Linked DNA regions of Pelodiscus sinensis. The protein of the gene in region 2 binds, or shares a complex with, the protein of the main gene of each other region. Links are inferred from orthologs where the notes say so. Each region holds a gene or a part of one and is shown on either strand. Other genes may lie near its edges.

What was found.
Region 1: the proteins of AP3B1 (region 2) and AP3M1 are in contact, whole or in part, in a cryo-EM structure (PDB 9C5A), measured with the Homo sapiens proteins. The link is inferred for Pelodiscus sinensis from reciprocal best matches to the Homo sapiens genes AP3B1 and AP3M1. Residues at the interface, in NP_003655.3 of Homo sapiens: Leu60, Lys64, Val67, Gly68, Ile70, Ala71, Lys72, Gly73, Ile92, Glu93, Lys96, Leu97, Val100, Arg104, Glu107, Asn128, Gln129, Leu130, Arg137, Arg143, Ser163, Pro164, Tyr165, Lys168, Asn169, His172, Gln175, Lys176, Leu202, Ser206; in NP_001307192.1 of Homo sapiens: Met1, Phe15, Leu16, Glu17, Trp20, Lys21, Ser22, Val23, Gln26, Val42, Glu43, Asn44, Val45, Pro46, Pro47, Val48, Ser50, Tyr55, Ser58, Ile59, Tyr60, Gln71, Thr72, Glu73, Val74, Pro75, Pro76, Leu77, Phe78, Ile80.

The regions. Positions count from the first base shown.
Region 1 is NC_134718.1:7,351,502-7,359,477, forward strand, and holds the start of AP3M1 (AP-3 complex subunit mu-1), read right to left. Parts: upstream 3,006-7,976; 5' UTR 2,987-3,005; coding exon 2,875-2,986; intron 2,827-2,874; exon of another isoform or gene 2,754-2,826; intron 2,735-2,753; exon of another isoform or gene 2,559-2,734; coding exon of another isoform or gene 2,447-2,558; intron 1-2,446. Other genes in the region: ADK (adenosine kinase), read left to right, coding at 3,266-3,327. UniProt on the Homo sapiens protein: Part of the AP-3 complex, an adaptor-related complex which is not clathrin-associated. The complex is associated with the Golgi region as well as more peripheral structures.
Region 2 is NC_134716.1:86,592,546-86,600,655, forward strand, and holds the start of AP3B1 (AP-3 complex subunit beta-1), read right to left. Parts: upstream 3,159-8,110; 5' UTR 2,708-3,158; coding exon 2,571-2,707; intron 1-2,570. UniProt on the Homo sapiens protein: Subunit of non-clathrin- and clathrin-associated adaptor protein complex 3 (AP-3) that plays a role in protein sorting in the late-Golgi/trans-Golgi network (TGN) and/or endosomes.

The DNA.
Region 1 (7,976 bases), on a different chromosome or scaffold from region 2:
ATATCATGCTGACTCTGTTCTTTTAATAAGCTAGAACAAGTAAGAGTAACACCTTTACATAGACAGAGGGGATGAAAGGCTTGCTGACACTTTAAAAATTAGCTCTCCTGAGAATCAGGGATAGTGTTTTCAACTCAACAGAAGTGGAGGGAAAAATAGTACATGGCAGGGAGGGAGGACAGATTGGCTGCTGACCAGACAAGAACATGGCTGCTTGCTGATACAAGTAACCATTAGTGTGAGCAGAACAGAGAAAAAGGATGGTCTTGTTAGTTAAGGTTCTGGGATTCAAGCAGTGTCAATTCCATTCCCCATCTTCTACATGCTTTTTGTATTTGTCATCTGAAGAAGTGGGTTGTGCCCATGAAAGCTCATGATACTAGCTGTATTTTTTGCTTAGTCTCTAAGGTGCTACATGACCATTAAAAAAAAAAAATTAGATACAGACCAAGGCAGCTACCCCTCTCAGCATTTGTGTGACTGTCAGCAAGTCACTTATCACCTCACTTCTGCATGTGTAATCAGTCATCCCCCCCCCCCTTTGTCTAGACTTAGACTGTAAGTTTATGGAGAAGCAATTTTCTCTTAACATCTGTACATTCCACTGAAGATTCAGTGGGTACCCACTGAAAGCTGGATCAGTAGGGCTACTGGAATGAAAAACAGATCAGTAACAGGAAAGGGACTAAGCACAGAGAAAGATGACTCTGAAGCTAGTTGAAACAAAATACAGGACCATGTAGCACTTTAAAAGACTAACAAGATGGTTTATTAGCTTTCGTGGGCCAGACCCACTTCCTCAGATCATATAGCGGAAGAAAATAGTCACAACCATATATACCAAAGGATACAATTACAATAAAAAAAAAAGAACACATATGAAAGGTAGTATTCAGGCTGAAGCTAGTATTCAGGCTGTGTGTCATGAGGGACTCTTACAGATTTTTTTTTTTTTGCACTGGTGCTATCACCGGTGAAAACTGCCCTGCTGGGAACCCTAATGATAGCAAGGTGCTCATGGAGCTTTTTTATCTCCATCAACAAACTCCCCACAATAAACCTCAACATGGTTCTGGAAAGGGCTGTTTAGAAACTGGAGCTGTGTATAATAACACTCCCAACATTAGTGCCATTAGACAGATTAGTAATTTTCCCCTGGAGTATACAAGAGCCACTTGAAATTAAGCTGCAGCACTTTTCAATACAGTTCAAACGCACCAATTACTGACAAATTATCAGCAAATGTTAAATTTCCTAACAGACAAAGCTTCAGAGAAACCAACTGTTACCAACAAACTATTATTCTGCTGTTAATAAACTGAAGGCAAGGCAACACCAAAAAGAAAAATATGCAATAAACCTAAATAAGCACATGACCTATTTTAATCCCCTTTCTATCTTCCTGTTCTCATGCCATTGCTCATCACCTATACACACAGAGGGGGAGAGAGAGAGAGACAGACACTAAAATCTTTTCAGGGCAGAGACATGTATTTAGTGATCCTATATCCTGCCTAGCAAACTTAGCTGCTTTATAAATAAACTCTTTCACCAAAGAGCTTGACATAATAGATCACTTTGCTTAATATGTTATATTTCCAGAATATCAAGATTGTGGATTGCAATATTCTTGAAAGATTGCTTCTATGAAATACGTGTGGGTGTGATGATTAGTGAATGGGTCAGTTTAAAAACTTTTAAATAAAAAAATCCAGACTATTAAAAGACTACAAGAATTTGCTTCTGTATGCACATTTACTTATTCAATTCAGACAACAAAACCAACATGCACAAAGCGCTGCAGTGACCCGTTAAGCACTCAGTGCAAACCAAAATGTACCCATCCCACATAAATCTAGTGTTTTCATTTCTAGCTTACTTATCAGAAATTTAAGTGTTAAGACATTAACCCCAAATTTTTGCGTTTATATAAAATATATAAACGTCTCCTGTTTTCATTCATAAATGGGAACCTAAATATGATAATGGTGATAGATATAAAAGTTAAACTGTAAAACAAGCCTATTCATGGGGAAAAGGTTTCATACAGAGATTAATGTATAGAGACTAGGAAGATTAGTAGCAATTCATTTTCTTTTACACCACGGAAAGCTTCCGGGATCCAAAGTTAAACTCATTTGCAGTTATAAAGACAGTTCTTACGAGTGAAATACAATCTGAAATCCTAAGACTCAGGACAGAGCAAATTAAAAACAGACTCCGATATTAGATCTCATTACGGCACACTTATGGAGGGGAGAAAGCAACAGCTCCATGGATTAAAATACATTCAAATGTTTTAAAGTGAAAGGAGTTAGTGAAACTGAAGTGGATCTCTGCTCGACTTCGGGCTGTTGAGAATTTTTTCAGTAAGTTTGACCAGTCAGGAGATATTACCCAGCCGGACTGGAACACCAGGAAACGACACACCAAAGATTGGAAATACCTTCGATTGCTCCCGAACCTTCCCTCCAGCGCAGGAGAACCCCGGACCCACCTCGGCACGCCTCGTTTGGGGGTGAAGACAGCCCAGATGCTATTGCTAAGCCCACGTGCATTGCACTCCACAGTTAGCCAGCCAGGCAATCAATTCTCACGGGCAGCAGCGCCCGGATCCCAGGGCTGCGTGCGGAACAATGGAGGGACCATGGATTTCTAGGGGATCCGAGCTAGCTGCCACCAGGCCTTTGTCATGCAACCCCCCCACCCCACAAGGAGAGCAGCCCCGAGTGGCGGGGCTAACACATATTCACCTGCAGCGCCCCGAGCCCCGCTTCCCCGCAGCACAGCGGCCCCTCTCCCCCCCGCCAGCCGTGGCAAATATGGCTGTGAGGACCCGGCCCGCCCCATGCCTCCGCCCCCAGCTGCACGCACAGGTGGCCGTGGGGCTGCCTCCAGCCGTGCGCAAACCGGGGCTCCGCGTAAGCCGCTTGCAGCCGCCCCCGGGGGCGAATGCGCTGGAGTCCTTTGATGATGATTTTTGCATGACGAAGCAGGGGCGGGGGGGACCCAAATGCCCAGGCGGGGCTGGTCCTGCAGCAGGAAAAGCGCCTGTTGCAACTGGTCCAGCCGGAGCCGCGTTATTTTCACAGCGGGCACCCGGCTCCTCTCCACGTCTCCATCAGGCGCGCGGAGGCCCACTCTGCCGCCCCCCCCCTGCTTCCCCTCCTCGGCTCCGCCTGCTGCCGGCCGCCTGTCGCCCTGGTTGGAAGCTGCTGCAAGAGGCTGCCGAGAAGCCCCGGGGCTGCGCTGCTAGAGCCTGAGCATGAAGATGGCAGCGGAGGAACCACAAGCCAAGAAGCTCAAGCTGGACCCCCCCCAGCTTAGGTAATTGGCGAGGGGCGAGGGAGAGACTCGGCTGCACCCCGGGGGGGAGCGGGCAGCACAGCATAAGGGCGAAGTGCAGCCTGAAAGTCAAGCCGGGAGAGGCGCAGAGGAGGGCGGAGCGCACGTGCGCCGGGGCTCTGGTGCGACTTGCGGGCACTCGGGCCGGGGTCTGGGGAGGGGACGTCGCCAGAGCGTGCGCCCAAAGGCATCTCGAAGGACTCAGCGTTGCTTTTGCGGTTGCACATTAGCGCAGCCGCCCTCTCTGATACTTGTGGATATTAGAGTTGCCGGCCGGCTTCTTTTCCTGCCTTCTTTTCTGCAACACGTGCACTGGGATAGGCTCAGGTGGCTTTGTAGGAGTTGAATTTGCTGCCATAGAATAGTGATAGAAATGTAGCCGTGTTAGTCTGGGGTAGCTGAAGCAAAATGCAGGACAATGTAGCACTTGAAAGACTAACAAGATGGTTTATTAGGTGACGAGCTTTCGTGGGCCAGACCCACTTCCTCAGATCAAATAGTGGAAGAAAATTGGCACAACCATATATACCAAAGGATACAATTAAAAAAAAAATGAACACATGTGACTTGTCCTTTTCATATTTGTTCATTTTTTTTAATTGTATCCTTTGGTATATATGGTTGTGACTATTTTCTTCCACTATTTGATCTGAGGAAGTGGGTCTGGCCCACGAAAGCTCATCATCTAATAAACCATCTTGTTAGTCTTTAAAGTGCTACATAGTCCTGCATTTTGCTTCAGCTGCCATAGAATGTGTGTGTGTCTGTGTTTTAAATACCCCCGGTACCGGAGATTGGGGAATGGAGTGACCTTTCCTCTTTCTGAACCCTAGGGAAGGTTGCTAGATTTAGGTCGCTCTTTGGGGGTGTTGTTTCTACCGACCCTCGACTCCAGTCCTTCATTGGATCACCATTGCACCTTAAAGTGTGCCGGTCCCGGAGGCAAATGTGAATCAACGGCAAATCGCAGCACAAGGAACAGAGAACTTGTTTGTTAGTGAGCAGTGGATTTGATCTTTCTGTACAACAGGGCAGGAGCTGGGGGTTTCCAGTATCTCTTCTGGCACGTGGTAGTATCATGCATCTTGCCTTGCCTGAGATCTTGTTCTGAATGCCAGGCATTTGGCAGTGTCATGTGCTCTGTGTGTGTGTGTGTGGGGGGGGGGATTATTACACTTTTCCTTCTGTCACTCATAGCCAGATTTTATCTAAAACCAGATGATGTCCCTACATAATGCTCTGAGTACGGACTGAGGCACTTCATAACGGCGCCTAGGTTCTTCCTAGCAGTTTGGAATATTGGGGACAGAGAGAAAATGGGATGGTTGCAAAATGCAGATCAGTAAGTACTAACAGTTCAGCAGACAGCTGTGAAAGGAACAGTGTCCTTTTGAGGAAGCTGACAGTAGGAGCCGCAGAGGAGGAAAAAAATGCAAGTCTGCACTAATTCATTCAGTGACAGCATGGATGCCGCTGCTGGGTGTCAGGAAGGACACACTGCTATTAAGCATCTGAAGTAACTTCCTCATAGATGCCTGGGAAGATATTTGACTACAGGTTGGCCCTCCCTGGTCTGGCACCCTCGGGACCTGACTGGTCCGCGGACAAAGAAGTTCGGTGAACCAAGGGAGGCCGGGGGAGGAGGGTATCAGCCTCCTTGCAGGGCTCCTGTCCCCAGCCACTGGCCCCTGCCAGCTCCAGCACCCCCACCAACTCCATGACACTACAGGCTCCAGCAGCCCCACTGGCTCTGCAGGTTCTGCTGCCTTGCTGGCTGCAGGCTTTGTCAGCTTTGCTCACCACTGGCTGCAGGCTCTGCTGCCCCATAGGCTCTATGGCCCTGCTGGCCTGCGAGTTCTGCTGCCCCACTGGCTAGCTTTGCTCCTAGCCACCAGCAATCTCTGCCGCTGGGGCGCTCTGGTCCAGCAACATCCCGTGGTCCAGTGTTGCCAGACCAGAGAGTCCTGGACCACAGAGGTTCAACCTGCAGAAGCTGAAAAAGGGCTTAGAGATCCCAAACTGGGAAGCACTATATAGACATGCAAAGTGTCATGATTATTATTAATACGATGCTTTAGGGAGAAAACCTATTTTAAGAGACTAAAGCTATCCAGTACAATGGCATTCCTTGCTTTGTATATATTCTGTTAGCACCCAGGAACCTCCAACTGTATTTGGCACTGGGTCCCTGACCCAAAATTTTTTTCCCATCCCAATGTGCTTTTCCTTGCCGCTCCCATAGCAGCAGAGGGCTTGGGAGTGGCAGGGGGCAGGGAGCCACATGTGCCCCCAGAAGCAGGGCACCAGGTAAGTGCTCCACCTCCATCCCCCTCTTGTCCAGAGCCCCAGTGCCCTCTGTGGGCTGGCCAAATCTTGAATCCAGCACACCCTGTTTTGCAGGGTTGCTGGATTAAAGAGGTTCAAGTGTAGTATGAATAGACAGGCAAAACAGGGTGGAGCTGGGTTGAAATGAGGATACAAAATGATAACTTTTACTAAAAAATAGAAATTTTAGCGTGCTGCTTGTTTAGTCATTGCTAAACAGAAGTGATTTGCAGGCATCAAGGCAGAGTGAAGTATTAAAGATGGATTTAAAGAAGATAAGATGGCAGCACTGCAAATTCTGGTGGGGAATTTCCCCATGCATGGGAGACTGCATGAGATGCTTGGTACCCAGTCAGGCCAGGGAATCTACTATCCTTGGCAGAACACAGGCCAATGACTCAATCCCATTATGAAATACAGGTTTAGGTGGTTAAGAATCGTTTTACCTTTCGGAAATCAGAAAGCCAAGTTAACAGCTATTTTTCTTGTTATTGTATAGGTCTGAATGTAGGGTTGAATACTTGTTGTTCTCAGTTGTACGTATGGGATATTTTGATTATGAATATCTCAGGTGTTTAAAAAATGAATAAAAGACAAGGATGAAGTGACAAGTTGGTGTGAGTTCAGGTTTCCCATTTGTTATTTAAACAGGATTTTGGAATGGTTTAAACTTCTAATTGATTTATGCAGAGCTTATTGTAGGACATTTAAAAAAACCCTCACTCATCCATAATGAGAGCTCCACAACACTAGCCAGATTTCAGTGTTAATTCAAATTATATACCAAGCATTGCTGCATGATACCGGAAATACTTTTTCTGTTATCTGAGGAAAATAAGTTAGTTCAATGTAGGGATGTAAAATTGCAATTAATCAACTGTTTAAATGAAATGTTTAACCAGTTAATCGTTTAACCAGTTAATCGTTATCCTGTGGGCAGGGTACTGCTCCAGCCTAGCCAGACTGGAGAGCCTCCCTTCTCTCCCCCCTCCCCCCCCGGTGATATATTGTGGTTGGTCCAACTGGTGTGGAGTACCCCCCCTTTTTTCCAGTATGCCCAAGATACAGTGGGGCCAGGACTTCCACTGCACTGTAGCTGGACAGAGTCCCACCTGGGCATGCAGGAGAGATGGCTGCTGGCGGGGTGGAGGGGGGGGTTGCCCAGCAGGGCCAGTAGGGCAGTGGGGTTGGTGGCAGGTGGTGGAGCCTTCTACTGGTTCAGCAAACTCCCTCATCCAGGACTAGTTAGGTGCCAGAGTAGGGAGGTCCAACCCATATTAAGTAAAGGTGCTTTAACACTGGGATGAGAACAGTCATGACAAAAAGTCACAGATGACCTATTCTTTCTAAGGGCTAATTTACACTGCCACTCTTCTGCGCTGTAACTTTCTCGCTAAGAGATTTTGACCCCTCCTGCCAGCCCTAGCACAGCAAATTACCATAATGTAAAGCACCAGTGTAAACAGGCTCCTGGTGCTGTTAGCTACTCCCCTTGTGAAGGTGTTTTATGTGGAGCTCTGGGAGAACTCTGTCCCAATGCTGGTACCATGACTACCCCAGACAAAACCCAAGTTAAGTTTGACATTTTTTGTGTCAGTGCATCTATTGGGGTACAGGCAGTCCCCGGGTTACGTACAAGATAGGGACTGTAGGTTTGTTCTTAAGTTGAATCTGTATGTAAGTGGGAACTGGCATCCAGATTCAGCCGCTGCTGAAACTGATCAGTTTCAACAGCGGCTGAATCTGGACACCAGTTCTGACTTACATACAGATTCAACTTAAGAACCCCAGGCATCCCCAAGTCAGCTGCTGCTGAAACTGATCAGCAGCTGATTCTAGGAAGCCCGGGGCAGAGCAACTCTGCCTCGGGCTTCCTGTAGTCAGCCGCTGGTCAGTTTCAGTAGCGGCTAACTTGGGGACGCCTGGGGCAGAGCAGCTGGGGTGCTGCCGGGTTGGTCCAGTAGCGCCAAGGAGCGGTGCTGCGGCAGAGAACCCGGGGCCGGACCCGCGGCCGCTTCCAGATCAGCTGGAAGCGCCGCGGGTCCGGCCTGGTCCTCCGCGGCTTTGCTCAGCGTCTCCCTGGTCTGCAGACCAGGGAGACGCTGAGCAAAGCCGCGGAGGACCTGGCTAGACCCCGGCGCTGATCTGGAAGCCGGCCCCGGGTCCTCCGCCGCTTTGCTCCCCCAGCAGACCAGGGAGACGGGGAGCAGCTTTTCTCACCCCGGAGGAGGCGGGCGGCAGGACCAGGCGTCCCGCCGCTCCAGTCCTCCGGGGCGAGAAAAATCCCCGTTCGTAACTGCGGATCC
Region 2 (8,110 bases):
GTTAATAAACTACACTATTACATCCCTACCCCAAACTGAGACAGCTTACTCCTCTGGCACTCTAGCACCATGGGGTGAGGGGAAGAGACAGGGAGGACTGAAGTTCAGGGCTTCCCATAGGCCAGGTTTACTTTTGTGGGGTTCCACAGTTAGTGGATTTTGTGGATTCTCTTAGGCTCTGGGGTGGGGACAAAAATGAGGGGTTCAGTGTGTGGAACAGGGCTACCAGCATGTGGGATAGGGATGGGGGTACAGGATCTGGAGTGGAGGTGGGGTGCAAGGAGGGGCAAGGATGAAAGGTCTGAGTGGGAGGTAGGGTGCAGAAGCAGGCTGGGAGTAGGATGTCTGGCCAGGGGGGAGGTGCAGGAGCCAGGTGGAAGTGCAGAAGGGTGCTTGTTGTAGGATGTCTAGCCAGGAGGGAGGATGCTGAGTGTGGCCAGTAGGGAGGGTGCAGGAGCAAGGGAGGATGCAAGAGCAAGCTGGAAGTATGCAATCTTGGCATGAGGGGGGAGCTTACCTGGCTTTGCACCTCTGTTTCTCCCAAGCACCACCTCCCGCTTCTCCCATTGGTCAGCCAATTGGAGCACCAGGGAAAGAGTGCATGCAGGAGGGGAGGGGGAGGTAAGAGGTGAAAAAAGCCCTGACCTTTCCCACCAGACACAGCTCGTGGAAAGAGGCAGAGCAAGCAGCTCCATGCGCTGCTGCTCCCCTGCCCCGCCCCCCACACTACTTGATTTGCTTGTCTCCGTGATCCCGGTCGGGCAAGGAAGTTTAGGGCTTATTTCACCTTTCTACCACCACCACTCCAAGCAGGAAGCGAGAGCTGGTGCTCCAGACTTGTGGCTGCATGGCAACCATGTGACTGGAGTGACAGCATAGGCTTCCCACTGAGTAGGTGAAGAGTAAGGATGTTAAAGACTAATTGACTCCCTCCCTCCCGTCAGATAGAGGCAGCAAAGGGGGGACGGAGGGGGTACTTCAAAGGGCAGCACCACACAGCTGATGCCAGGATCAGCTGTGCAGCGCTGCCCCTTTGAAATACTAAGGCAGTGTTTCAAAGCAGCAGCGCTGCCTGGAGCCCAGGGTCAGCTGGGGACTCCCCCGCTGATCCCAGGCTCTGTGCAGCGTTTCTGCGAAACCCATGATTAGCTGGGGAGTCCACAGGTCTCGGGAAATGCCATGCAGAACATGCAGTCAGCTGCGGAGTTCCCCGCTGACCCTGGGACTCCGTGAGTGCACTTCTGCTTTGAGATGCACAAGAGCCCCCACTGAGACTCTTGTACATTTCAAACTAGCATGCCCATGTGCAGCCCAGAGTCAGAGAAACTTCCCGCTGCATGCTGTGTTCTGCATTCCTCCTTTGAAATGTACAAGAGCCCCCTGGTGGAATGTGGTATTGGCTATTGACTAGTTGAGTACTCAATAGAAATTCCCTTGACTACTCAAATAGTAAATTAACTGCAATTTAACATCCTTAGTGAGGAGGGGAACGGAATTCAAGCCACAGACTGCCTATAAAGTGGCTGCAGCCCACTTGTTGTCCATGGACTGCACTTTGAAAACCACTGTTCTAGGGGGCTACAGGATGATCTACCTTCATACAGCAAGTCACCTCTGCTATTCACTGCTATGCTGGTGCCGCCAAATTTATTGACAAATAAAATTTGCAGAACCCCAAAACATCATGCACAGAATTTCCTCAGGAATATAAGAGAAATTGGTCCAATAAAACATTACCTCATCCACCTTGTCTTTCAGCAATTTAATACTAAATGTTTCTCTTAACTTCCAGATTTGTTTAAGAGGATGCTAACTTTCTAGGATAATATGCCTTTAGTTTCCATGATAAATTCAACAATTTTCTAGTGTCTCAGTTTTGTCTTGAGACCACAATATACAACTAAACATCTTCCGCATTATGTTTAACACCAACCCATGTAGATGTTTGTTACAACATCATAACTACAACCATGCAGTAAGAATACCTGCGCCTTTTGGAAGGCTTATTTACCTGTATAAAGAAACTGATCTTTCACGGGTTTTAAGCACAAAACTGCTGACGAACTACAAACTAAAATAATTTGAAAGGGTATTTCTGTTATCCATTAACAAAGGCACCACCTGTTTAAACAGATACAGTAGCTAAATGTTTTATATGGCAACCAGAAAAAAGGTAGTCACCGATTTACTACCATAGTCTATTTGGATGGTAGCTCGCATGTCATAATTTGCATGGAAACGTCGGTACCGGCCGGTTCTAAAATGACACTTGGCGTTCCGTGTTTTGCTGTTCTGGGTACGTTCATGGTCGTGCCTCCAGCTGCCCAAGGAACTTGCATTTTAGAAGTTGTGTGAGCTGGGTCGATCAACCAGCGAGTCTCATTCAGCGTATGCAGCTGGCCACAGGAACGCGGTAACCAGCAGCGTACGCCAGGCCGGCCGGCCGGCCGACCGACCGACCGACCGCCTGCCTGCCTCGCAGCCGGACTCCCGCACGCCCTCCACTCAGCCCCGATCCTCAGCCCCCGTTGTCCCCGCCCTCTGCCAACGCCACGCCCCCTTTCCCTTACTTCTTGGTGTCGCTGCTGAAGAGTCCGAAGGCCGCGGGGACGGAGGCCGGGGCTGCGGGAGAGGCCGCCGCTTCCTGCCCCAGCTCCGCCGCCGCCTCTCCGCCCTGCTCGTTGTAGCCGAGGCTGTTCGTGGACATGCTGCTGCTGCTGCGGCTCCTCTGGCGCCTGCTGCCCAACGGAACTTAGTGACGCGCGCACCGGAGTCCTCCCGGAAGCTAACGGCAGCGGTTGGGGCTGGAGGGTGCAGGCGTCACATGATGGGGCGGGGCTGCAGGAGCGGAACTTTCCCGGCCTCAGAGTTCTAACGTTCCTATGACAACCCCATTGCCACTGGCCAGGAAGGGACGTGAGAAGGCACGTGAAGCTCCGCCCAGGCTGTTGGCGTGGCGTGTAGGACGGGGCGGAAAGGAACAGTCTGGACTCGTACTGCCGCCCAGGGGGGGCGGGGCTTTACCTAGGGTTCTGCTTGCGCCCTTGAAAGCCGCGCAGACGCCCGGTCCGCGCGCCAGCAGGAGGGTGTGTGCGAAGGGCGGCGGTGATTGATTCCCAGAGCCGCGGTCCGTAAGGAGGCGGGCGGTGGGGCTCAGACGTACCCGTGCGGAGCACACGGAGATTGCGTCCGCCTCGCTGAGCCGCGGCCTAGCCCCACGCAGCACAGGTCGGATAGCGGCAGCCCCTGCTCCCCCCTTCGTTCGGCCTCTCTGGGAAGCATCGCACTGCAGCTGGGTGCCACTGGTAACCTGGAGTCCACCTTCCTATGACTGGTTACTTTCGGCATTTCACTTAGGCCCTGGACCGCCCGTGCTCCCCGTGGGAACAAGGATTTTGTAGTCAAAGCCCGCGGTCCTTGCAATTTTAGCTCCTGCAGTGCACCCTGGAAGCCTCTTGTAAATGGACCAGTCTACCGAAGCCCCAGTCTTGCAATGTAGCTGTGCATTCCTGTATTGCAAGCTTCTAGTGTGTGGTCACTGTGGTGCCTCTCCTTCTGTAACACCTGTACGGGAGAGTGGGGCATGTTTGGCACATAGATAGTGGCTTCTGTATGATTGCATTGCAAGCTATGCAGCCACTACTCAGTCTCCTACCCCGTGTAAGGGACTTTTGATCCCTTACTATAGTGGCTCTCAAAGTGCAGTCCACAGGCCACTAGTAGTCCACGGCTGCCTTACAGGTGATCCGTGGCTCGAACTCAGCACCCTCTTCCTCCCCCACCCCCCATGCATCTGGGAGCTCACGCAGGCTTCTGCACAGTAGGCAGGCGGTACAGAGGCGGGAGATTTCTCCTCTCTTAGGAGGGGGTGGGGAAGGAAGGGGCTCAAACAGGGAGAGGCTGCAAGTAGAGCCCAGTGGGGGTGTTTCCAGCCTGATGGGCAAGGGGAGGCTCGGGGTTGGGGGCAACATAGAGTTGCCAGGTGTCCGGTTTCAGTTCGGTAATTGCGCCTTCCCTCTGGTTAGAAACAAAAAATATTCATGTAAAATGTCTGGTATTTTCTGATTTCCCCCTGCCGTGTCTGGGGAGGGTGGGGGGAGCAAGGGAATTTAAAGATAGAGCAACTTTTTTTTTTCCTCAACAGAATTTTTTTCCAGCGTGGTTTTTTTTGCGGGGGGGGGGGGGGGGAGAGGTTGGTATTTTTTGTTAAACCATCTGGCAACCCTAGGGGCAAGAAGGATTTCCCTGACTTGCTCTGTGGGTTTCATGCTGGCAGTGCAGAGCTTAGCTCAGATCCCTTCCATCAGCTCGTTAAGGTACATGGTGGGGGGAGAGAGGAAATGTAAAGGGGCTCCAGTGCTGGCTGGGCCATGCAGGAGCACTACTTGTGCTTGGCTTGGTGCAGCAAGGAAGCTCAGGACAGGCTCTCACTGCCCATTCACCTTTCTCCAGTGGGCACACTTCCCCACCCTTGTGTCCCGCCCAGACACCAAGTGGCAGGACCTCCTACCACCAATAGAGGGTGGGGAGCCCAGGTGGGACAGTCTCTATTCCATCTTAGTTCAAAGGCCCACTGAGGACATCAGCTGGAGAATCCTGCATGGAGCTGTGAGCATGGTGTATTTGGCGCAGTTCACGCCCATTCCCGACACTTGCCCCTTCTGTGGCGAGAGGGAGAACCTGGCGCACGTCTACCTCGTGTGCGCCAGGTTACAGCCCCTCTTTCAGCTCCTCCAGAACCTTTTGTTGAGGTTCTGGCTACACTTCTCCCCTCACCTGTTAATTTACGCACACCCCATCCGAGGCCCCACAAAGTCGCGGGACCTCCTGGTCAACCTCCTCCTGGCTATTGCCAAGACGGTAATTTGTAAGACCAGGGAGCAGAGGTTGGCCAAGGGAGGGGCCTATTTCCATTCCTGTGTCTGCTCACGTATCCGGGCAGAGTTCCACTGGGCAGCGTCCTCTGGCTCTCTCGAGACCTTCGAGGGGCAGTGGGCGCTGTCTGGGGTTCTCTGCTCGGTGTCCCCATCCGGTTCTCTTATTTTAGCCCTTTAACCCTCACGCCCGTCCCTGTTTTCTTTTTATTTGTCCCAAGTAATTACTTGGTTTCCTGGGCTCAGTGGACCCTCCCCTTAAGCTGGGGGGAGGTCCTCCCAGATTTCCAATAGGCACCTTTCTCCAGTGGGCACAGTGGATTGGCAGCACCCCCGGGTTGCAAATAGCACTCAGAATGGGGCTGAAAAGTCTCCACTCCATTTGCAATTTGGATTCCTTTGCATGCACTGGCAGGTGGATCTAACCTTGAAGGGGGGTGGAGGAACCTACTTCTTGCAAAAAGGCAGCAAGGAATAGTGCTTGAAGGTGGGGGAAGGGGTGCACTGGGATATTTGCAAAATCTGGAGCATTTTGCAGGAGCAGGCCCCAATGCAACCGGCTGGTCTGGTGCCAGGGAGTTTGCAGCGATGCAAAGGAGCTGGCAACTGTGCTGCAGATTGGCCCATGCCAGTGTGCCATGGGGCTCTGGACTATCCCCAGCCAGTTATTCTGAGGATAGCAGCATGCTGCCCTGCCTCTCCCCCGCTTGCCTTCCAACTGCATAAGGATAAACAACAAATGGTCTGGTAGCACTTTATAGACTAACAAAACATGTAGCTCAGCATCTCTTAAAGTGGCAGTCGGAGTTGTGCTGCAGAGAGAACAAAATTCAAAATGGCCACCCTTAAAGGGCTCAACTTTTCCCTGGGGGGCATTTTTTTTCTCAACAAAAAAATCCTTGGTGTTCCCTCATAAAAAAAATACTGTTTGGTGTTCCTTGGTCTTAAAAATTTAAGAAACGCTGATGTAGATGGTATCATGAGTTTACGTGGGCACTGCCCACTTCTTCAGAGCACCAGAGCTGAGCCTGACCTTTAGGAAAAGGCCCCCTCTAGCTGCTCTGAGGCTGTAATGCCCAAATGAGGGATGGGAAGGAAGGCAGCGAGATGGCTGATTTATTTGGGATTGGAAAAACTTAAGAAACAACAAATAGTTTTGCAGCACCTTAGAGACTAACAAAAAAATGTAGATGGTGGTATCAGCTTTCATGGGTACAACCCACTTCTTCAGATGAATGGAGTTTAAGGAGTCCAGTTTTCAAATACAGGCAGTCCCCGGGTTACGTACAAGATAGGGACTGTAGGTTTGTACTTAAGTTGAATCTATATGTAAGTCGGAACTGGCGTCCAGATTCAGCCGCTGCTGAAACTGACCGCCAGTTCTGACTTACATACAGAATCAACTTAAGAACCCCAGGCGTCCCCAAGTCAGCTGCTGCTGAAACTGATCAGCAGCTGATTCCAGGAAGTCCGGGGCAGAGCAACTCTGCCTCGGGCTTCCTGTAGTCAGCGCTGGTCAGTTTCAGCAGAAGCTGACTTGGGGACACCTGGGGCAGAGCAGCAGGGGTGCTGCTGGGTTGCTCCAGTAGCGCCGCTCCTCGGCGCTACTGGACCAACCCAGCAGCACCCCATCTGCTCTGCCCCAGGCGTCCTGATTCAGCCGCTGCTGAAACTGACCAGCAGCGGCTGAATCAGGACACCTGGGGCAGAGCAGCTGGGGTGCTGCTGGGTTGGTCCAGTAGCGCCCAGAGCGGCGCTGCGGGACCAACCGACAGCGCCCCAGCTGCTCTGCCACAGGCGTCTGGAGAAAAGCCTAGTCTGCTGAGGGGGAGGGGGCGTACTAGCTGCGCCCCCCCCAACCCAGCAGACCAGGAAGACGCGGGCGGCGGACCGAGACGCACCGCGGTCCCGCCACCTGGGTCCTCCGCGGCTTTGCTCCCAGTCTCCCTGGTCTGCCAGGGAGATGGGGAGCAAAGCCTCTGAGGACGCCAGCAGCGGGACAGAGCCTTTGCAAAGCCTCGGGTAAGCCGGCAGCGGAGCAGCCCAGGTGCGCCTGGGCTGCCTCGCTGCCCGAGCCCCCCCGCGGCTTTGCTCCGCGTCTTCCTGGTCTGCAGACCAGGGAGACGCAGAGAAAGCCCCAGAGTATACGGGCGGCAGGACCGTGAGGACCCGCAGTCCGTGTCCTCCGGCGGAGCCCCATTCGTAACTGCGGATCTGACGTAATTCGGATCCGCGTAAGTCGGGGACTGCCTGTAATTAGCAGAGAGAGGGGAAAAGAGAAGGTAAAAAGAAAAAAAGTGGGGGGAGGAATTGTCAGAGTGTCCATGCTAAATGAAGTTGATAAGAATACTTATTACCCACTTTAAGTACCCTTGGTTTGTTTTTTTTATGTCATTAGGATGTGGAATGTAGTGGGCTATCCAGCCAATGCCTCTGTTTAGACCTCTGTTGTAGGAATCAAATTTGTAAATGAAATTAAATTCTGTAGCTTCCCTGTTGAGCTGGCTTTTGAAATTGGTTTGAAATAATACAGTGACTTTGAGATCTATTAATGAGTGCCCAGGCAAATTGAGGTTGATTCTGCGTGGAGCAGGGAATGGGACCAGAAGGCCTCGTAGGGTGCGTCTACACCCTTAGCTCAAAATAAGCTACGCAATTTGTGCTACACGATATTTTGATATAGCTTATTTGTAATTTGGCACTGTCTACACAGCAGCACATTTTGAAATAAATCGCTATTCCAAAATGCCCCTCAGGACGTCAGAATAAGCCGCCCATTGTTTCGAAATCTATTTTTGAAATAATGGGCTGCTTCAACAGACGCAGAACAGACATACCCCTAGGGTCTCTTCCAACCTTCCTCTTCTATGGTTCTATGTCCATAAGGCTGTGCAGGCTCCCCGCTGTGTGGAGAGGGCTGAGCTCCACCCCAGGGAATGGCAGTGCAGTGATGTGCTGTTCAGAGGCAATGGGAGCAGCTGGGCAGCAGTGATTGGGAGCAGCGGGGTGCTCACCCCCCCTCATATCCAAACCCGCCATGCTCCAATCCCCCTCACTCATCCACCTTGCCGAGACTCCGCACCCCAGCTTGCTCCTACATTCTCTCTCTCGGCCTGCTTCTGCACCCTACCTCCCATCCAGACCTTGCACCCTCACTCCCTCCTCTGCCTGGTTTCCCACACAGACCTTGCACCCCCATTCCTATCCTACTTGCTGGCTGCCCTGTCCCATACACT